2 linked regions of the Macaca fascicularis genome follow. Each later gene encodes a partner of the first gene's protein in a complex. Links are inferred from orthologs where the notes say so. Each region holds a gene or a part of one and is shown on either strand. Other genes may lie near its edges.

Region 1 (11,497 bases):
TGGCCAGGTGCAGTGGCTCATGTCTGTAATCCCAGCACTTTGGGAAGCTGAGGTGGGCAGATTACTTGAGCCCAGGAGTTTGAGACCAGCCTGGGCAAAACCCCATCTCTACCAAAAATACAAAACTTAGTCTGGTCTCAAAATAAATAAAAATGAAAAAATATGTAAAATTCAAAAGTACATACGTGGAAGACTTTTCAATAATCCTGCCTTAGCAGGCCAAGGGGTTTTCCAGCCATTTCTCTCTGGCATTTGCCTCTATCTGTAAACACAGGACTTGGAGAACTACTCACTAGGATCTCAGGGTACAACAAGGCGTAGGCTAGTCCAGCCCGCTGAGAAAGTTTATGTGGCTTAAAACACAAGCACAGAGACGAGCTTACAACTTGGGGCCCACATCTTTCTGACCTCTGGCCCTGGGAAGTGTTTGTACTGGCTACTCTGTCAAAAGCTCATTTTGCTGCCTCGAATGAGGAAGGAAATGCGTAAATGAGAGGCACAGCAGTCCGCTCCTTGGACCTACAGGAAGCGGGCAAGAATTGCAAAGTAAGAGAAGAGGCTCCCAGGCAACGTCCCAGGAGTTTGCAAGCAAATCTCACTTTATCCACCCCTCCTAAAAATCTGGCTATCATGGGGACCATCAGGACAGCCAAGGACAGGGAGCTCATGATCATCAGTGAGACCTGATTACTAACTGCTCCGTATGAGGCTGAACAGAAACTAAAGGGGCATGGCTTGAATGTCCTCTGATGCCTGCGTTAAAATTTCTGAGCCTTTCACTTATTATCTTATAAAATGCACTTATTTATTAATTTTAAGACTATAAAGAAAAGAGATTCTTCCAGATCCTTGGCCACGTATTCTCCTAAAACACAGACAATATGGAATTTAAGGCCAAAGACCAAAGGCATTAAATAACCAGCAAATGACACAAGGTAGGAAGATCAGCTTGATAAGCCTGTATACACGAAACATGAAAGCCAAATTCAAAGGCTAGAACTCCCACAAATATAAATAGAGCTGGACTTTAAAAAACTACAGTGAGAGTTTTTGTTATACCTCTCAGAATCTGACAGCCAGGCAAGCAGGGATATAAGGGCAACTGAAGTTAAGAGATCTATCTAAAGTCAGTGTCCCGCAGAGTACCTATTTTCTCTTTTCACGCCCATGAAACATGTTAATATTTATCATGCAGTTGGCCACAAAGAAAATTTAATACCAGCCAGGTGCAGTGGCTCCTGTAATCCCAGCACTTTGGGAGGCTGAGGCGGGGTGGGGGGACTGCTTGAGGCCAGGGCTTTGAGACCCGCCTGGGCAACATGCTTCATTCACTCATTCACTCATTCATGAAAATGAATCCATTTTGTGAAAGGAGCAAACCCTTGCAGGCACCTAGGTCTGCCTGAGCATGGAGCGCCATGGGGAGGGATGTCGGTGGCAGGCCATCCACATGTTCCCTTCTGGGATTGGAAAGGGAGCAGGAGGGTAAATCGAGGCAACAGGGTCAAACACGTCCTCCTCGCCTTCAAAGCCACCATTTCAGAGCCTGTCTAAACTTACTATCATCAGATCCTCATGTCCTGCTACTCCTCACCCATTCATTCCAACCTCGCTTCTGCTCCCATCATCCCACCAAAGCAGTGAAGGCAGCTGCATCTTCTCCATGTCACTCACCACAGCCGCGATGCCAAGCTGACTACTCCATCCCACGAAGCAGACTCACCCTGGCTCCTGGGATACAACTCTGTGCTGGCTTTCTGGGCCCCTCTCAGGCAGCTCTTTTTCTGGGTCCTTTATAGGCTCATCTTCCTTTACTCAGCTGTTCAAGGTGAGTTCTTCCATCTCGCTGTGCCCATGACTTCAAACACAAACACAACCTAGACAAATGTCTGTCTAGCCAAGACTCCTCCTGAGCCCCAGACCCACCAGCTTATTTGGTATCTCAAAGATACCTCAAACATAGTATGTCCAAAACCAAATACATGATCTTCTTCATCCTCCAAACCTGGTCCTCATCCAGTGTCCCATGTCTCAGGGACACCAGGGGGATGACTCTAGGGTGAGTGGGGGCGGTCTCTTCTTTTAAGCACAGCACGCAGGGTGAGGCCAACAGTGGGTTCTCAGTAATGAGCCGTTCTACCGGAACATGCCTTGTCACCTACTTCCTAAAAATAGCCGTGACCTTTTTAGTGGACACAGCAAGCTCACATCTGCTATCACCACTCCTTCCCCACTGACACATGCACCCTTTCCCCCAGCGGTGCCACTCCCCAGGCTGGATGTGCCATATGCTCTCCAGCCTCCCCGTGGGTAGCCTCCACATTTCTCCTCTCTGCCCTCACTCAGATTTCCCCCCATCTCAAGTCCTCCAAGTCAGCCACCCCCAGGTGTGAGGGGCAGGGGACATCTGACTTCCCTCTCAATTTCCTTTCCTTCTTTTCTGCTAAGGCGGAGCCTAAGCCCCTGGAAAACTAGAGATCTCAGAACCAGGCTTTGACCACGGCATGCTCCACCCGCTGCTTCACAACTCCTGGCAGTCACACACCCACCATATCAACATTGTCATCACTACCCCCAACTGATCTCAAACCCCTTTGCAAACATCTTCTCATCTGATTCTCCATTCCAGGCAGGCATTTTATTATCCAGAACTGTTCTGTGTGTGGGGGGCTCAGTGTAGCTGGGTGGCTTGTCCCAGGATACCCAGCACAGAGAACTCTGTCCCCCAATTTCTTGGTTGCCCCCACCCATTCCTTCCTCACTTCAGCATGGGCAAGGCCAACTGTGGTCTGGGTCACTGTTCAGGCTGTACTTTTAGGATCCTCCCAAATAACAAACAACTATGTGACTATCAGGTCTTTATTTCATGGGTTATAGGAGACAGGATCAGTAGGCCTAATGTGTAACAGTTTCAGCGGTTATCAGAGAGTTCCACTGAACTGCAACAATTCCCTTTAAAAGCACAAATGCCCACCAAGAAAACCTCAGTTTCTTCATTCATCCTAACAGCTTTCCTATCTAGGTATCACTCAGAATTCCCACTATTCTGGGGGTCATGGGATCAGAGAGTGCTGCAGAGAAAAATCCACAGAAAGTGAAAAGTCTGTTTCCTTGGCAGTGCTGGTGAAGCACACCCTTGCACACACGCTTCCCCACGGGACCAAGTGCCAGGAACTGCTTCAGGCTTATGGGGGAAGACGGTGGCGAAGAAGAGAGAGGAGGCCGGGCACGGTGACTCACTCCTGTAATCCCAGCACTTTGGAAGGCTAAGGCGGGCAGATCATCTGAGGTCAGGAGTTCAAGACCAGCCTGGCCAACATGGTGAAGCCCCGTCTCTACTAAAAATACAAAAATTAGCCGGGCATGGTGGCGCATGCCTGTAATCCCAGCTACTCAGGAGGCCAAGGGAGGAGAATCATTTAAACCCAGGGAGCAGAGGTTGCAGTGAGCCAAGACTGTACCACTGCACTCCAGCCTGGGCGACAGAATGAGATCTGTCTCAACAAAAAATAAAAATTAAAAAAAGAGGGAGAAGAGGAGTGAATCCAGGAGGAAGGAGGGGGTGCACCAGAAAGGTCCTGGAACCTCTGATGTTCCAGCATTCAGCATGCATTTTGGTTCCACATTCACCTCCTGCCCACACCAGTTTCTTTTCTCTATTCTACAGTTCCCAAGAAGAACCCACACTAACCTATTCTGTCTCAACTCCCACTCCTGTCATCCCAAGTCACACATCACCTCCCCAATCATGTGAACTAGGCATCACTAATCGATCCTGGCCTTCTAGATACGTCCACCCAGGGTGAGCCCTTTCTATAATATCATGCATAAAGGCATCAGATGGGGCTTCCACTCCCACCTCTTAGTCCCAATTCATCTCCATCTCACCCTCCCCACATTTCTCTGCCTATCCAAATCCAGCCTTCAAGGTCCTATACTTTAACCACAGGGAAACTACTTCCCTGTGCTGCCTCTGTTGTTCAACTAACGACAACTAATTTTCTGAGCACCTACATTAGGCAAGGCCCATCCTGAGTGCTACCACCAAGAGGTAAGTCAGAAACAGCCTCCACCCTCCAGAGTCAGAAGACAGGGCAGAGATAAGCCACATGGCCACACAAACACTACGCACAAGGTGAGAGATGAGAACTGAGTCAGTGCTGGAGGGGCTGAGTGAGCTCAGAGCATATCCCATCCCTCCTGCTGGGCAGCAGGCACCAGGATGGCTCCCAGGAGGGTGGAGAATCCTGGGCCAGACGGGGAGGGAGGGCATTCCAGGAAGACAGACAGCATGAGCTTAGCATGAGCTAAGCCAGAAAGACGGTTCAGGAGAAGCGCATTTCAACTTTAGCTGAACCTTCCACTGCTACTATTTACTGACCCTTATACCTGATTATTTATGACCCAGGCCTGCCTCACACACTTTATGGCTAATCTGGGTGACACCCATCTGGGACACACAAGTGTGGTACAGCAGTCACCACCTGTTCTGACTGGTCCGTACCTGAGCGCTGTATGGTTATTAAATGAATGAATGCACTGAATCTCACAACAAACCTGTGAGGCAGGGATTAGTATTATCCCCATTTTACAGATGAGGAAACCAAAGCACAGACAATAGTCAGAGACAAGATAGCAAGGTATGCAGGAGCCTGAAGTAGTGGGCACCCAATGCCAGGGCAACAAACTGCCCTGGCACCTCACCTGGCCTCCCTTGTCAGGGAACACCTTGCAGCACAAAGAATGCGTTTAGGAAAGGGGGCCTGTTAATCCTCCTGGAATCCCCAACAGTTGACTGCCGCATAAAAGGAATGAGGAAAGCAATGAGAGAGCCAGTGAAGGGTGAGCATGCCCTGCAAACCTTTAGTCCCTGTTGCGTGGGCAGGGCAGGGGCTCGGCCTCACAGCTCCACTCCATGCCTAAGGCAGAGAACAGATGGGAGAACCACCACAAACGCCCAATCTCTACAGAGAGGTCACTGATTGGAGGGCAGAGACAGAAATGCCCCGGGCCGACTGTTTCCAGCTTGGGCTAGCACTGGCTGGCTTAACTTTTCCCCTCCAAAGTCTCTAGGTGACAAATTTCGCGTGTCTCCTTTAAACCAACAGACCGTTTTACCTTTCTAAGTCTTAAGGGCCTGGCCTGCACCCATGGGGAGATACAAGTCCAGGAATCCCTTCCTGAAACTGGGGATCAAAGTTGGGGAAGGGGCGAAGGGAGGCACAACATCGGGGATGGCTCCCGCATTCTCTCAAACATTGGGGAGAGTTCCTTACAAATAAACTGCAATGGTAGCAGCTCCCATGAATGTGCGTGCTCCCAGTTACGGAGGAAAGTTCCTGAAGATAGCCTTTTCTGCTTGCTCTCCCCCAGCCTTGCCTGAAAGAGCGCGCGCACCCCGGAGGGCCCCGCGGGGCTGCGGGGCTCGGCCTCCGGCATCCCTCCAGCCACCCGTTGCCTCCTCCGCCCAGGGTCACGGCCCCCGGCCTTACCCAAGCCCAGACTGAGACGCTGACCCCTGAGCCCGGGGGGGCCGGCGAGTGCACCCCGACCGCACAGGAGGGGGCAGCCCCCGACGCCGAAGCTTATTGAGGGGGCTGCCAAGCCGACACGGCCAGCCCGGGACCCGCCGACGCCTCCTCTGTCCCCCACCCCCACGCCTGTAATGCAACCAGGAAGCAGCAGGGCCGCGCTGGGCTGGGCGCGGGGCAGCCCCGGGCCTCACCTGCGGTGCCGCGGTGCACTGCCGCCGCCTGGTCCCAGGCCCCCGGCCGGCCCGGGACCCTCACTCACCTGGCCACGGGGACTCGGGACGCGAGGGGCGAAATGGGACTTGGGCGGGAGTGGCTCTCTCCGCGGGCGTCCCGGACGCGGTGCCTGGGTTCTGCCTGGCGCTGTGTCCCACTCCCGCTCGCGGGGCACTCGGGGCACTGGGGAGTCGCGGGCGCCGCAGCCTTCAGGGCGGGGCGGGAGGAGGAGCCTGCCGGGCGGAAAACTCCGCGGGCGCGGTTGCCCCAGGCGCCGGGGGAAGGGCAGGGAAGGGGCGAGGCCTGAGCGCGGCCCCGCCCCGAGATGAGGCTTGGGCAGGGCGGGCCCGCGAGCAGCAGCGCCCTTCCGGCTGCGCAGCTGCTCCAGGACGTCTCCGGCTCTGGAGGTCCCTCTGTCGCCCCTAACCCCCTGCAGCGCCCGGTGCAGCGCAGAGCCGCATTCGCCCTCCTGCAGGGGTGGGCATTTCCTAAATCCTCTCCAGCCCCGTGTGCGTCGTTAGTGACTCTCTTTAAGGTAAAGAAAACTTTTTACACTGAAAAGGTCAAACACATTTCTTTCATATCAACACTCAGTGGTGGTGGAGGGGGGAAGGTCACGCACAGTATGTGAGGAAGGGAGCGGTCAGTAACTATCATGGAGAAACCTGACCAACCACCCAGCCGTCAAGGTGACCTCGACAGCGGTAAATCATACTGATTGCATGCACCGCTTGTGGTCTTCCTCCCAAGAACACCTAATCCCACTGTAATCATGAGAAAAACATCACAAATCAATTGAGGCCCTTGCCATATACATGACCAGTACTCCTGAAAACTAGCAAGGTCATCAAAAACAAGGAAAGTGTAAGACACTGTCACAGCCAAGAGGAACCCACGGAGATATAAAAATGACATGTAAAGTGGTATCCTGAACGGGATCCTGGACAGATAGTAGGTAGAAACTAAGGACAACTGAATAAAATATGGACTTTAGTGCGTCAGTTTTGGTTTATTCATTGTGGCAAAAGCGCCACACCAATATAAGATGTTAGTAATAGGAAAAACTCGGGTTTATGAGAACTCCCTGTATTCACACTTTTTCTGTAAATCTAAAGACGTTCTAAAAAAAAAAAAAAAGCTTATTTTTAAAAGGTCACACAGGTAATATATGCATATATGGTAGGTATGCAATTTTTTTTTTTTTAATGTGTGGTGGCTGACACCTGTAATCTCACAGCACTTTGGAAGGCCAAGACAGCAGGATGGCTTGAAGACAGGGCTTCCAGACTAGCCTGGGCAACATAGTGAGACCCGGTCTCTAAAAAACTGAAAATAAAAAATTCAAAAAATGAATAAAAATTGAGATTCACTCTTCTCTCCACTCCCCCAGCCCACTCTTAGGCGTGTCCTTCCAAAATATCTCTCTTCAATACTGTGTGTGTGTGTGTGTGTGTGTTTACATAAACGTATTGTTTACAAAACAATATTGCAGTACTTTTCTGCAACATGTTTTTTTACTCACTATATCTTGGAGGGTCTTTCCATAGAAGCGCTCCCGAACAGACCTAGTTCTTCCCATCCGCTGCACACTGCGCGCCATCGTGCACTTCACCATTCTTCACTACCTAGCTCCTTACTGAAGGACATTTAGGTTGTTGCCTATGTTTGACTGTTACAAACAAGCTGCTGGTGCGATTTTCCTTTTTTTTTTTTTTTTTGAGATGGAGCCTCCCTCTGTCGCCCAGGTTGGAGTGCAGTGGTACGATCTCGGCTCACTGCAACTTCCGCCTCCCTGATTCAAGCAATTCTCCTTCCTCGGCCTCCCGAGTTGCTGGGTCTACAGATGCTCACCACCACGCCCGGCTAATTTTCATATTTTTAGTAGAGACGGGGTTTCACTATGTTGGCCACACGGATCTCGAACTCCTGGGCTCAAATGATCCGCCCGCCTCGGCCTCCCAAAGTGCTGGGATTACAGGCGTGAGCCACTGCGTCCGGCCCGATTTGCGTTTTAAAGTCGCTCCGAACAATAAAAGCGGGAAGGGCTGGAGGGGAGGCTCTGACCTTCTCCCTGTCTGGGCAGCTGTGCTGGTGCCGGGCAGGAACAGCGCCTTGCCTTGGGGCATCCTGGCCCCGGCCTCACAACCGGCCCTGAGCGCTCAGTCATATTCCGTGGCCGCTCCAACACCCCCGACCCCCACCAACAGGCGCGGCTCTCTTTCCGGGCTGGACCACATTTTTTGGACATGAGTCCGCGAGTGAGGGTGAAATTCAGGCCAAAGTCTCCAGAGCGGCTCGGAGAAAACGTCGCCTGGAACTGAAGAGCAGAGGGTCAGAGGCACCACCAGAAAGACTCTCAGAGTGGGTTACTACCCCGGTGGCGGCGCCCGCTGCGGCGTAGGAGATGGCAGGACTGAGGGCGCGGGTGTGAAGCCTCCAAGAAACTGGGTGAAGTTCCTGGAGTGGTAATGTCTCCAGGCGCTCTCTCTGGGCCCGGGGATTGGTCCGGGAAGGACTCCTGGCGCCGACCCAGCCCCCCTGCATGGACGCCTGCGCCAGCTCTGCAGCCCCACAGCGACCGCGAAGGCCAGCGTCTTTGAATGGCCCATTTTTCTCCGTGGCTGAGCGAATACCTAGAATACCAAGTTGATAATAAATCACGTAGGGTGGAATTCCTGCTGGATGTATACACCTTTCTGCGTCAGAGCTCTTCGAACCTAGAATGGTGAATTAGCTACCCCTGGGCTTACCCTTTTATAATTTTCAACAAACCTGCGTTTAGCCCCAGCTAGGTGCCAGCAAGCTACTAGGGACTGAGGAGCCTCTGCAGAGGACCCGAGCTGAGGTCCTAATCCTCAAGGCCAATGTCAGGGGTCACTGCCCAGGCACCCCCAGAGAACGCGGTGTGAAGGAAAAGACACCAAACTCGGTGTTCAAATGTGTGGGATCTATTCTAGTTCTGATTCTGACACTTGCAAGTCGTGCATCCTCCGAGCCTCGGCTTTCTCACCTATAAAATCTTCAACGTGACCTATAAAAATCCATAAAATCACCGCTGCTTCATTGTTTCCCAGGGCTCATAGAAACATCACACGAGGTAAGGGAAGGTGAGTGCCTGGTAAAAAATGGTGACTTGCTATATAGCTCTGAGTAGTATGGTGTATAAAGCTTCGTTTTTAAAAAAAATTTTATTTTATGTGAGTCAGGGCGCCCGGCCTCTTTTGTTGTTTTCTAATGAGTATATATGACTATCATTTCCCTCAAAAGTCTGCTTTAGCTGAATATCACAAGTTTTAATATGCTATGCTTTTGTTATCTCTTAGTTATAAATATTTGGATTTTGTTGTTGTTGTTGAGACAGAGTCTCGCGCTGTCGTCCAGGCTGGACTGCAGTGACACGATCTCGGCTCACTGCAACCTCCACCTCCGGGGTTCAAGAGATTTTCCTGCCTCAGCCTGCTGAGTAGCTGTGGTTACAGGTGCGCACCACCACACCCAGCTAATTTTCATATTTTTAGTAGAGATGGGGTTTTACCATTTTGGCCAGCCTGGTCTCCAACTCCTGACCTCAGGTGATCCACCCGCCTCAGCCTTCCAAAGTGTTGGGATTACAGGTGTCAGCCACTGTGCCTGGCCAATATTTTGTTTTTTATGTTAGTATTGTACGCTTAATTCGTGGACTATTTAGAAGTATATTTTCCATTCTTTTTTTGTTTTCAAACTTCAGTTTTTTAAAAAATAATAATAATCATTTGGGGAGGGGCCCAGTGGCTCAGGCATGTAATCCCAGCACTTTGGGAGGCCAAGGTGGGAAGATCACTTGAGACCAGGAGTTTAAGACCAGCCTGGGCAACACAGTGAGAGACGTCTCTACAAAAAATAAATAAATAAATAAAATTTAAATAAAAGTAAACCAATCATTTCATTGTTGATCTCTAACTTTACTGCTTGGACATGAGGAAATGTGTTCTTTTAGAATTTGTTAATGCTTTATTTGTGGCCTCATATACAGGTTTTTTTGGCTGTCCCAATTTTTGTGAATGTGTCTTCACTTTTTAATGTGTTTTTTTTCTCTCTCTCTCTCTCTATAGCTCTCCGTCTAGCTTGCTAATCAGGTTATTTACATCTTTTATCTCCTGGGGTTTTTTTGTGTTTTTTTTTTTTCTCTCCTGTTCAATCCATTGATTTCTGAAAGAGTGGATTTAACATTTCCCACTTTTATTGTAGTTTGTCAATTTCTCCCTCTAATTTAGTCTGATTTTGCTTTATACTTTTTTTGTGTGTGGTTTTTTGATTTTTGTTTAAGAGGCAGTGTCTCACCATGTTTCTCAGGCTGGAGTGCAGTGGCTATTCACAGGTGTGATTATAACTGCAGCCTCAAACTCCTGACCTCAAGCCATCCTCCTGCCTCAGCCTCCTAGATGACTGGGATTACAGGCATGTACCACCTCACCCGGCCCGCCATACAATTTTGAGAGCAAATTATTAGGCTCATGCAAATTAACATTATTTTATCCTTTTATGACTTATTCAGTTTTATTACTTTTTGTATTAATATTGTTATCCTGAGATTGCATTTTTCTAGTATATATTTTATTTCTCCTTTTTTACTCTTTCTGTATTGTTACTTAGGTTTATCTCTTGGAAATGACATTTTTTTTAACAAGATTTAAAAAGTTCATCTGAGTTTCTGTTTCTAATTTGTGAGTTTAACCAGTTCACATTGATAAGAATAGCAGAAATATTTGGGCTTATTTCTGCCATCGTTTGTGTTATACATATGCCCTTGAAATGGATATTCATCTAGAACACGTCAGTAAAATGCTATAAATTATTACAAACTGGAATTCTTCCATGCTGCTTGGTAAATAGCTGCTCACCCGAGACCCCACAGTGCCCCTACCCCTGACTTTCTTCTGATCTGGCAAAAAAGGGTCAATGCTTGTCACAGGGAGACCCTCTAGGACCTTTTCTGAGATTAAATTTTATAACTTGGTATGAAATACTAACATCTAAAAGACAACATAAAACTCAATCCACTATTACAACAAGACTGTCCATGATAAACTGGATAATGCTTCTATCAATTTGAGAAGTATTAAGATTAGACACTGCACAGAAAACTCAAAATGCCTGGTAATCTTATAGCTCATATGTGAAACCTGATAGAAGTATTTTCAACTTTAACTATAGTCATAAAAATGTACATGCTAGTACCAATGGGATTCACTATCTGCAGTTATAATAACTGACTTCTGCAAATTTTTTTTTTCTTTTTCTTTTTTGAGACGGAGTCTTGCCCTGTTGCCCAGACTGGAATGCAGTGGTGCAATCTCGGCTCACTGCAACCTCCGCCTCCCGGGTTCAAGCGATTCTCCTGCCCCAGCCTCCCAAGTGGCTGGGATTACAGGCACGTGCCACTACGCCCAGCTAATATTTGTATTTTTAGTAGAGATGGGGTTTCACTGTGTTGGTCAGGCTGGTCTCGAACTCTTGACCTTGTGATCCACCCGCCTCGGCCTCCCAAACTACTGGGATTACAGGCATAAGCCACCAAGCCCAGCCACTTCTGCAAATTTTTAAAAAGCATATGGCCGACTTAAGCAGAAAATGCAATTAAAAAGAAAAGAAAAAAAGCCTCTGGTCACAGTGTAAGAAGGTTGAAGTGTCTTTCTATGATATCTAAAGAAAACAGTATTAGAAAATCCTCGTTATCTATAGATTTTGCTTCCTGAATATTTGTTGAATCT
Region 2 (10,789 bases), on another chromosome or scaffold:
ACTGGGGAGGCTGAGGCAGGAGAATTGCTTGAACCCAGGAGGTGGAGGTTGCAGTAAGCTGAGATGGTGCCACTGCTCTCCAGCCTGGGCAGCAGAGCGGGACACCGTCTCAAAAAAAAGAAAAAGGGCCGGGCGCGGTGGCTCAAGCCTGTAATCCCAGCACTTTGGGAGGCCGAGACGGGTGGATCACGAGGTCAGGAGATCAAGACCATCCTGGCTAACGCGGTGAAACCCCGTCTCTACTAAAAGTACAAAAAACTAGCCGGGCGAGGTGGCGGGCGCCTGTAGTCCCAGCTACTCGGGAGGCTGAGGCAGGAGAATGGCGTAAACCCGGGAGGCGGAGCTTGCAGTGAGCTGAGATCCGGCCACTGCACTCCAGCCTGGGCGACAGAGCGAGACTCCGTCTCAAAAAAAAAAAGAAAAGAAAAAAATGTCATTTAATTTATCTCTCCAGGCCGGACACAGTGGCTCACACCTGTAATCCCAGCTACTCAGGAGACTGAGGCAGGAGAATCACTTAATCACTTGAACCCAGGAGGCAGAGGTTGCAGTGAGGGGAGATTACATCACTGCACTCCAGCCTGGGTGACAGAATGAGAATCCGTCTCAAAAAAAAAAAAATTATCTCCCTTTCTCTTCTAAATAACCTAAGGTTAAGGTTGTGTAGGAGTTTTTTGTTGTTGTTGTTTGTTTTTTGAGATGGAGTCTTGCTCTGTCACCCAGGCTGGAGTGCAGTGGCGCGATCTTGGCTCACTGCAACCTCCACCTCTGGGGTTCAAGTAGTTCTCTGCCTCAGCCTCCTGAGTAGCTGGGATTACAGGCGCCTGCCACCACGACCGGCTAATTTTTGTATTTTTATCTATTTATTTATTTTATTTTATTTTGAGACAAAGTCTCGCCCAGGCTGGAGTGCAGTGGCACAATCTTGGCTCACTGCAACCTCTGCCTCTTGGGTTCAGGCAATTCTCCTGCCTCAGCCTCCCAAGTAACTGGGATTACAGGCGCCTGCCACCGAGCCCGGCTAATTTTTTTGTGTGTTTTTAGCATAGATGGAGTTTCACCATCTTAGCCAGGCTGGTCTTGAACTCTTGACCTTGTGATCCACCTGCCTCAGCCTCCCAAAGTGCTGGGATTACAGGTGTGAGCCACCATGCCCAGCTGGTTATGTTTTTTTAAGTAAGCCAAACTTTTGGTTTCTTTTTCTTTTTTGAAATTAGAGATGGGGGCTCTTGCTCTGTTGCCTAGGCATATTGTAGTGGCTGTTCATAGACACCCTGCAGCCTCAAACTCCTGGACTCTAAGGCAGGAGTTTGTTGGAACTTCCTTCCTCAGCCTCCTGAGTTGTTGGAACTTACAGGCATATACACCACTGTGCCTGGTTTTCCATTTTATTGCAAAAGCTGTGTATTGTCGAATGTTTAGGAAAGATAAAAGTGAAATCTACATCGGGAGATACAAGTTGCTGATACTTAAAGTCAAAGTGAAGTAGAATTATTTTTGTTTTGATAAACCTTTTGAGAGAGATTGTAATCTGGAAGTACTACAAAAAACAAAATTGGAAATCACTGAATTTGCACCAGAAAAGCACCTCAGACACTAAACTTAAGCCTTTATTCTGTCCTCTAGAGCAAAAATCACTTCTTGCAAGTTTTCAGTGTCTTACTCTTCTTAGAGTCTCCTTTTTGCTTCTCATTTCTGGATGTAGGAGGTAGTGTTTTTAAAGAAGTGCTAAGTCTAAAAGGTTTCTGCTCATTTTATTTAGATAACAAAAGAAAAATGGATGAGACAGATGCTTCATCAGCAGTGAAAGTGAAAAGAGCAGTCCAGAAAACATCCGATTTAATAGTGTTGGGTCTCCCATGGAAAACAACTGAACAGGACCTGAAAGAGTATTTTAGTACCTTTGGAGAAGTTCTTATGGTGCAGGTAAACTTCGATTGCATCAAACAGTTTTTCTTTACAGTGAATGAGCATCTAGCATTTATTTATTGGTATACATAGAGATGGGGTCTCACTATGTTGCCTATGCTCTGGTGTTGAACTCCTGGGCTCAAACTGTCCTCCCACTTCAACCCCAGTGTGCTGAGCCATGATGCCTTAGCCACATTCTTGTTACTTTTTTTTTTTTTGGAGACCAAGTCTCACTTTGCTGTCCAGGCTGGAGTGCAGTGGCACTATCTTGGCTCACTGCAAACCTCCACCTCCTGGGTTTAAGCGATTTCTCCTGTCTTAGCCTCCTGTATCTGGGATTACAGGCGCACATTATCACGCCTGGCTAATTTTGTATTTTTTAGTAGAGACAGGGTTTCACCAGTTGGCCAGGCTGTTCTTGAACTCCTGACCTCAGGTGATCCACCTGCCTTGGCCTCCCAGTGCTGGGATTACAGGTGTGAGCCACCGTGCCCGGCCATATTCTTGTTATTTTAATGGCACTGTACTTCCTGTTACACAAATGATACTTCCAATATTTGTTATATTTACACACATATCTTGTACTCTATATTATTACCTTCAATATTGTAAAATCCTGCTGTTGCATGAAGGCTTAAGGGAATTAGGTGATAATAGCTTTTTATCTTTGAATTCATTCTAAGACATTCTGTTAAAATCCTGTTGTGGTGGCTCATGCCTGTAATCCCAGCATTTTGGTAGGCTGAGGTAGGAGGATTGCTTGAGGCCAGGAGTTCAAGACCACCTTAGCCAACATAATCCAGACTCAGGATTGCTTGAGGCCAGGAGTTCAAGACCACCTTAGCCAACATAATCCAGACTCAGTTTCTCTTTTTTTCTTTTTGGAGACAGGGTCTGGCTCTGTCAGCCAGGCTCTAGAGTGCAGTGGTGCAATTTAGGCTTGCTGCAACCTCTGCCTCCTGGATTCAAGCTATTCTTGTGCTTCAGCCTGCCAAGTAGCTGGGACTACAGACGCATGCCACTATACCTGGCTAATTTTTGTATTTTTTGTAGAGATAGGGTTTCATTGTGTTGCCCAGGCTGGACTTTAACTCCTGTGCTCAAGTTATCCACCCTCCTCAGCCTCCCAAAGCGCTGGGAATACAGGTGTGAGCCACCACGCCTGGCCCCATCTCTCTTTTTTTTAAGAACTCAAAAACATTTCTGTTGTATAAGTGAGTTTTGCTCTATTGTTAACACGGTATGGATTCAATATTAACCTCCTTGTTTTTACTCTGAAGACTAACTTGGTTTAAGTTTTAAACAACTGCATCCAGTTAAAACCATTCAAATTGTTTTTTAAGGAACTATGATTTGGGCGTGGAATGTGTATGTGTACTGTTAGAGTAAACTTAAATCATCCTTTCTAGGTCAAGAAAGATCTTAAGACTGGTCATTCAAAGGGGTTTGGCTTTGTTCGTTTTACGGAATATGAAACACAGGTGAAAGTAATGTCACAGCGACATATGATAGATGGACGATGGTGTGACTGTAAACTTCCTAATTCTAAGGTACTTGGGTCTGTGCTTTGGGATTTTTTGCTGACAAACTTCCTTAGAAGATTGTAAGATAAAATGTAAACACACTTAGAAAAGATAGTGGTAGGGTGTGTTCATGAAATCCTTTTGTCTTGTTGAAGTCTTTGGCCCTTAATGCATGCTGAATATTTTATGCTTGTTTGAAATATTTAGTTTATTACTTCTCCAAATGAAACCTTTGTTCATTTTGTTCTTCCTTTTTGTTATGCATGGAAAAGAGGAAAGATTATTTGTCAAGTTAACAGTTTCTTACATAGTTATATGTTAAAACATAAAGACAATCAGAATACGTACATTAATCTTGTTATAAAGACCTTTTTCCAAGCAAACAAATAACATTTGCTTATTTGGAACATCATCATCTTTGCCAGGAGATTGCGTATTTATTGATTTTCTCAAATCCAAATACAGTCATGCGTCACATGGCAAAGTTCATCAGTCAGCAGCAGACCACGTGTACAGCAGTGGTCCCATAAGATTATAACACTGTTTTTATGGTACCCTTTCTTTTTTTTTTTTTTTTGAGACGGAGTCTCGCTCTGTCACCCAGGCTGGAGTGCAGTGGCCGGATCTCAGCTCACTGCAAGCTCCGCCTCCCGGGTTCACGCCATTCTCCTGCCTCAGCCTCCCGAGTAGCTGGGACTACAGGCGCCCGCCACCCCGCCCGGCTAAGTTTTTGTATTTTTAGTAGAGACGGGGTTTCACTGTGTTAGCCAGGATGGTCTCGATCTCCTGACCTCGTGATCCGCCCGTCTCGGCCTCCCAAAGTGCTGGGATTACAGGCTTGAGCCACCGCGCCCGGCCTTATGGTACCCTTTCTATGTTTAGATACACAGATACTTACAATCATGTTACAGTCAGTCACCTACAGTGTTGAGTACAGTAACTTGGAAGTTTGTGGCCTGGGAGCAATAGGCTATACCATCTAGCCTAAGTGTGGGGTAGGCTGTGCTATCTGGGTTTATATGATGTTTGCACAATGACGATCTTTTGTTTGTTTGTTTGTTTGTTTGAGACAGTGTCTCACTTTGTCGTCCAGGCTGGAGTACAGTGGTGCGATCTCAGCTCACTGCAAGCTCCACCTTCTGGGTTCACGCCATTCTCCTGCCTCAGCCTACTGAGTAGCTGGGACTACAGGCGCCTGCCAACACGCTTGGCTGATTTTTTGTATTTTTAGTAGAGATGGGGTTTCGCCATGTTAGCCAGGATAGTCTTTTATTTTTTATTTATTTATTTTTTTTTTTGAGATGGAGTCTCGCTCTGTCACCCAGGCTGGAGTACAGTGACCGGATCTCAGCTCACACTGCAAGCTCCGCCTCCCGGGTTTATGCCATTCTCCTGCCTCAGCCTCCCAAGTAGCTGGGACTACAGGCGCCTGCCACCTCGCCTGGCTAGTTTTTTGTATTTTTTAGTAGAGACGGGGTTTCACCGGGTTAGGCAGGATGGTCTCAATCTCCGGACGTTGTGATCCGCCCGTCTCGGCCTCCCAAAGTGCTGGGATTACAGGCTTGAGCCACCGCTCCCGGCCGCCAGGATGGTCTTAATCTTCTGGCCTCATGATCTGCCCAGCCACTGCGCCTGGCTTTTTTTTTTTTTTTTTTTTTTTTTTGAGACGGAGTTTTGCTCTTGTTGCCCAAGCTGGAGTGCAATGGCGTGCTCTTGGGTCACTGCAATCTCCGCCTTCCAGGTTCCAGCAATTCTCCTGCCTCAGCTTCCCGAGCTTCTGGGATTACAGTCATGCACCACTATGCCTGGCTAACTTTGTATTTTTAGTAGAGATGGGGTTTCTCCGTGTTGGTCAGGCTTATTTTGAACTCCTGACCTCAGGTGATCCACCTGCCTTGGCCTCCCAAAGTGTGGGGATTACAGGCGTGAGCCACTGTGCCCGGCCTTTTTTTTTTTTTTTTTTTTTTTTTTTTTTTTTTTTTTTTTTGAGACGGAGTTTTACTCTTGTTGCTCAGTCTAGAGTGTAAAGGTGCAATCTTGGCTCACTGCAACCTCCACCTCCTGGATTCAAGTGATTCTCCTGCCTCAGCCTCCCAAGATGCTGGGATTGCAGGCACCTGCCACCACACCCAGCTAATTTTTGTATTAGTAGAGCTGGGGGTTCACCATGTTGACCAGGCTGGTCTTGAACTCCAGACCTCAGGTGATCCACCCGCCTCGGCCTCTCAAAGTGCTGGGATTACAGGCGTTCACCACCACACCTGGCCACAATGATGAAATTGTGTAATGGCTCATGATGTATTTCTCAGAACATATGTCCATCGTGATGTGATGCATGACTGTACTTTTGTAACTTAAAACGTTACTCTTCACTGAAGCCTTTTAAGAAAAAAAATGCTGATGCAAAAAATGAAGGGTATGTCTACTTTTTAATGATTCACTGCTATCCAAGGCAGAATGATTTTGTTATATCCCTTACCTTAATGCTTTTTTCATTGTTCATAACATATTTCTGAGTTTTTTTTTCTTCCTTTTGATTTGATCAGCAAAGCCAAGATGAGCCTTTGAGAAGCAGAAAAGTGTTTGTGGGGCGCTGTACAGAGGACATGACTGAGGATGAGCTGCGGGAGTTCTTCTCTCAGTACGGGGATGTGATGGATGTCTTCATCCCCAAGCCGTTCAGGGCCTTTGCCTTTGTTACATTTGCAGATGATCAGGTATTTTTCTCCTTAACAATATGTCCCGACCAGGCGTGGTGGCTCATGCTTGTAATCCCAGCACTTTGGGAGGCTGAGGTGGGCGGATCACGAGGTCAGGAGATCAAGACCATCCTGGCCAACATGGCGAAACCCTGTCTCTATTAAAATACAAAAAAAAAAAAATTAGCTGGGTATGGTGGTGCACGCCTGTCGTCCCAGCTACTCTGGAGCCTGAGGTAGGGGAATCACTTGAACCCAGGAGGCGGAGGTGGCAGTGAGCTGAGATCACGCCACTGCACTCCAGCCTGGTGACAGAGCAAGACTGTCTCAAAAAAAAATATGTCCCAGGTAATTAGGTAATTTCTCTTGAACATTTCCCATCCAGCTAATTGCTAGTCTTAGCTGAGTTTTCTGACCTTGTAAGATGTAGGGTGTATGGGCCTAGACGTTTGTGATACCTGTATCTGATATCCCAAATGTAATATTTTTAAAAAATCTAAAAGTAAGTATACCTTTAGATAGTTTTCAGTATGTGGCATTTGGGAATGTTATATACCATTTTTTGTTTTGTTTTTTGTTTGAGATAGAGTTTTGCTCTTGTTGCGCAGACTGGAGTGCAGTGGCACAATCTCGGTTCACTGCAACTTCCACCTAATGGGTTCAAGCAGTTCTCCTGCCTCAGCCTCCCAAGTAGCTGGGATTATAGGCGCCTGCTACCACGCCTAGCTAATTTATTTGTATTTTTAGTAGAGACACGGTTTCACCATGTTGGCCAGGCTGGTCTCAAACTCCTGACCTCAGATGATCCGCCCACCTCAGCCTCCCTCCCAAAGTGCTGAGATTACAGGTGTGAGCCACCACACCTGGCCATTTTTTTGTATCTTTAGTAGAGACGGGGTTTCACTGTTTTGGTCTGGCTGGTCCTGCACTCCTGACCTCAGGTGATCCACCTGCCTCAGCCTCCCAAAGTGCTGGGACTACAGGCGCAAGCCACTGCTCCCGCTCCTGGTCCCCCCCCCCTTTTTTTTTTGAGACAAGGTCTCACTCCGTTGCCCAGGCTGGTGGAACACAGTGGTGTAATCAAAGCTCACTACATCCTAGAACTCCTGGGCTCAGCCTCCAGGGGAGGATCCTTCAGCTGCAGCCTCCTAAGTAGCTAGGACAGGTACATGCCACTATGCCCAGCTAATGTGGCATTTTGTGGGGTTTTTTAAATAGAGGTGGGGTCTCCCTGTGTCGTCCAGGCTGCCAGGCTAGTCTTCAACTCTTAGCCTTACCCAGTCCTCCCACCTTGGCCTCCCAAAGCGCTAGGATTACAGGCATGAGCCACCATGTCCAGCCTATGTCTTTTGAAAATCGACGGAAATATCACTGCTGCTATTAATAAAACTAAAAGCTGTATTGGGGGTTTAAATGAAATGAGCAGTCATTGCTTATTTTTCCTCTGGCTTTAGATAAATTAATGCTTGTAATCTAAGTTTTGTTGCTACTTTAAATGTATGAATCAATGGTTTAATCTTCTTTGTTTACATCCCTTATTTCTTATAGATTGCGCAGTCTCTTTGTGGAGAGGACTTGATCATTAAAGGAATCAGCGTTCATATATCCAATGCCGAACCTAAGCACAATAGCAATAGACAGTTAGAAAGAAGTGGAAGATTTGGTGGTAATCCAGGTGGCTTTGGGAATCAGGGTGGATTTGGTAATAGCAGAGGGGGTGGAGCTGGTTTGGGAAACAATCAAGGTAGTAATATGGGTGGTGGGATGAACTTTGGTGCATTCAGCATTAATCCAGCCATGATGGCTGCTGCCCAGGCAGCACTACAGAGCAGTTGGGGTATGATGGGCATGTTAGCCAGCCAGCAGAACCAGTCAGGCCCATCGGGTAATAACCAAAGCCAAGGCAACATGCAGAGGGAGCCAAACCAGGCCTTCGGTTCTGGAAATAACTCTTATAGTGGTTCTAATTCTGGTGCAGCAATTGGTTGGGGATCAGCATCAAATGCAGGGTCGGGCAGTGGTTTTAATGGAGGCTTTGGCTCAAGCATGGATTCTAAGTCTTCTGGCTGGGGAATGTAGGCAGTGGGGTTGTGGTTGGTGGTATAGAATGGTGGGAATTCAAATTTTTCTAAACTCATGGTAAGTATATTGTAAAATACGTATGTACTAAGAATTTTCAAAATTGGTTTGTTCAGTGTGGAGTATATTCAGCAGTATTTTTGACATTTTTCTTTAGAAAAAGGAAGAGCTAAAGGAATTTTATAAGTTTTGTTACATGAAAGGTTGAAATATTGAGTGGTTGAAAGTGAACTGCTGTTTGCCTGATTGGTAAACCAACACACTACAATTGATATCAAAAGGTTTCTCCTGTAATATTTTATCCCTGGACTTGTCAAGTGAATTCTTTGCATGTTCAAAATGGAAACCATTGATTAGAACTACATTCTTTACCCCTTGTTTTAATTTGAACCCCACCATATGGATTTTTTTCCTTAAGAAAATCTCCTTTTAGGAGATCATGGTGTCACAGTGTTTGGTTCTTTTGTTTTGTTTTTTAACACTTGTCTCCCCTCATATACAAAAGTACAATATGAAGCCTTCATTTAATCTCTGCAGTTCATCTCATTTCAAATGTTTATGGAAGAAGCACTTCATTGAAAGTAGTGCTGTAAATATTCTGCCATAGGAATACTTCTGTCTACATGCTTTCTCATTCAAGAATTCGTCATCACGCATCACAGGCCGCGTCTTTGACGGTGGGTGTCCCATTTTTATCCGCTACTCTTTATTTCATGGAGTCGTATCAACGCTATGAACGCAAGGCTGTGATATGGAACCAGAAGGCTGTTTGAACTTTTGAAACCTTGTGTGGGATTGATGGTGGTGCCGAGGCATGAAAGGCTAGTATGAGCGAGAAAAGGAGAGAGCGCGTGCAGAGACTTGGTGGTGCATAATGGATATTTTTTAACTTGGCGAGATGTGTCTCTCAATCCTGTGGCTTTGGTGAGAGAGTGTGCAGAGAGCAATGATAGCAAATAATGTACGAATGTTTTTTGCATTCAAAGGACATCCACATCTGTTGGAAGACTTTAAGTGAGTTTTTGTTCTTAGATAACCCACATTAGTTGAATGTGTTAAGTGAAATGATACTTGTACTCCCCCTACCCCTTTGTCAACTGCTGTGAATGCTGTATGGTGTGTGTTCTCTTCTGTTACTGATATGTAAGTGTGGCAATGTGAACTGAAGCTGATGGGCTGAGAACATGGACTGAGCTTGTGGTGTGCTTTGCAGGAGGACTTGAAGCAGAGTTCACCAGTGAGCTCAGGTGTCTCAAAGAAGGGTGGAAGTTCTAATGTCTGTTAGCTACCCATAAGAATGCTGTTTGCTGCAGTTCTGTGTCCTGTGCTTGGATGCTTTTTATAAGAGTTGTCATTGTTGGAAATTCTTAAATAAAACTGATTTAAATAATATGTGTCTTTGTTTTGCAGCCCTGAATGCAAAGAATTCATAGCAGTTAATTCCCCTTTTTTGACCCTTTTGAGATGGAACTTTCATAAAGTTTCTTGGCAGTAGTTTATTTTGCTTCAAATAAACTTATTTGAAAAGTTGTCTCAAGTCAAATGGATTCATCACCTGTCATGCATTGACACCTGATACCCAGACTTAATTGGTATTTGTTCTTGCATTGGCCAAAGTGAAAAGTTTTTTTTTTGTTTTGTTTTTGTTTTTTGTTTTTGTTTTTTTTTCTTTTGAAATCTAGTTTTGAATAAGTCTGGGTGACCGCACCTAAAATGGTAAGCAGTACCCTCCGGCTTTTTCTTAGTGCCTCTGTGCATTTGGGTGATGTTCTATTTACATGGCCTGTATAAATCTCCATTGGGAAATCATTCCTTCTAAAAAGATTATTTGGGAGAGTGGGCAAAATGTTGATTATTTTCTAATGCTTTGTAGCAAAGCATATCAATTGAAAAGGGAGTATCAGTACCTTCCTAGTTTGAGATTTGAAAAGTGGAATTAATTGCAATAGGGATAAAGTAGAAGAAACCACAAATTATCTTGTGCCTGAAATCCATTAAGAGGCCTGATAGCTTTAAGAATTAGGGTGGGTTGTCTGTCTGGAAGTGTTAAGTGGAATGGGCTTCGTCCTCCAGGAGGTGGGGGAATGTGGTAACATTGAATAAAGTTGAATAAAATCACTTACAAAACTCAGACTCTCACAATGCATTGTTAAGTATGTAAAAGCAATAACATTGATTCTCTGTTGTACTTTTTTGTAACTAATTCTGTGAGAGTTGAGCTCATTTTCTATAGTTGGAAGAATGCGACATTTGTTGTGTTAGTAGTTAATGCCCTTACCTAATTAGATTATGATAAATAGGTTTGTCATTTTGCAAGTTACGTGTTTTAAACATTTATAAATGAAGTCATCCTGTAGACTTGTAATCGCCACATTGTTTCGTTATTTGGTTTCCTCTGTAAAGGGATCTTGAGTTGTTTTAATTTTTTTTTTAATCTGCATCTAAATCTGCATGATTTCCAAACCCTGTACCATCTGAATTTTGCATTTTAGCACTTGCACTATTACTCAGCAGCAGTAACATGGTAACACTTAAAATGGTACTCGGGGACCTCCAAAGACTAAACTGACAAGCCTT

Evidence for each region.
Region 2: the proteins of ANXA11 (region 1) and TARDBP are in contact, whole or in part, in a cryo-EM structure (PDB 9FOR), measured with the Homo sapiens proteins. The link is inferred for Macaca fascicularis from reciprocal best matches to the Homo sapiens genes ANXA11 and TARDBP. Residues at the interface, in NP_001148.1 of Homo sapiens: Gly56, Met57, Ala59, Met61, Ser62, Gly63, Phe65, Asn69, Pro71, Asn72, Leu73; in NP_031401.1 of Homo sapiens: Ala328, Leu330, Ser332, Trp334, Gly335, Met337, Gly338, Met339, Ala341, Ser342, Gln343.

The regions. Positions count from the first base shown.
Region 1 is NC_088383.1:66,601,620-66,613,116, reverse strand, and holds the start of ANXA11 (annexin A11), read right to left. Parts: upstream 5,933-11,497; 5' UTR 5,794-5,932; exon of another isoform or gene 5,726-5,793; intron 5,670-5,725; exon of another isoform or gene 5,493-5,669; intron 1,859-5,492; 5' UTR 1,675-1,858; intron 1-1,674. UniProt on the Homo sapiens protein: Binds specifically to calcyclin in a calcium-dependent manner. Required for midbody formation and completion of the terminal phase of cytokinesis.
Region 2 is NC_088375.1:223,780,644-223,791,432, reverse strand, and holds the end of TARDBP (TAR DNA-binding protein 43), read left to right. Parts: intron 1-1,762; coding exon 1,763-1,926; intron 1,927-3,320; coding exon 3,321-3,461; intron 3,462-5,980; coding exon 5,981-6,151; intron 6,152-7,681; coding exon 7,682-8,212; 3' UTR 8,213-9,602; downstream 9,603-10,789. UniProt on the Homo sapiens protein: RNA-binding protein that is involved in various steps of RNA biogenesis and processing.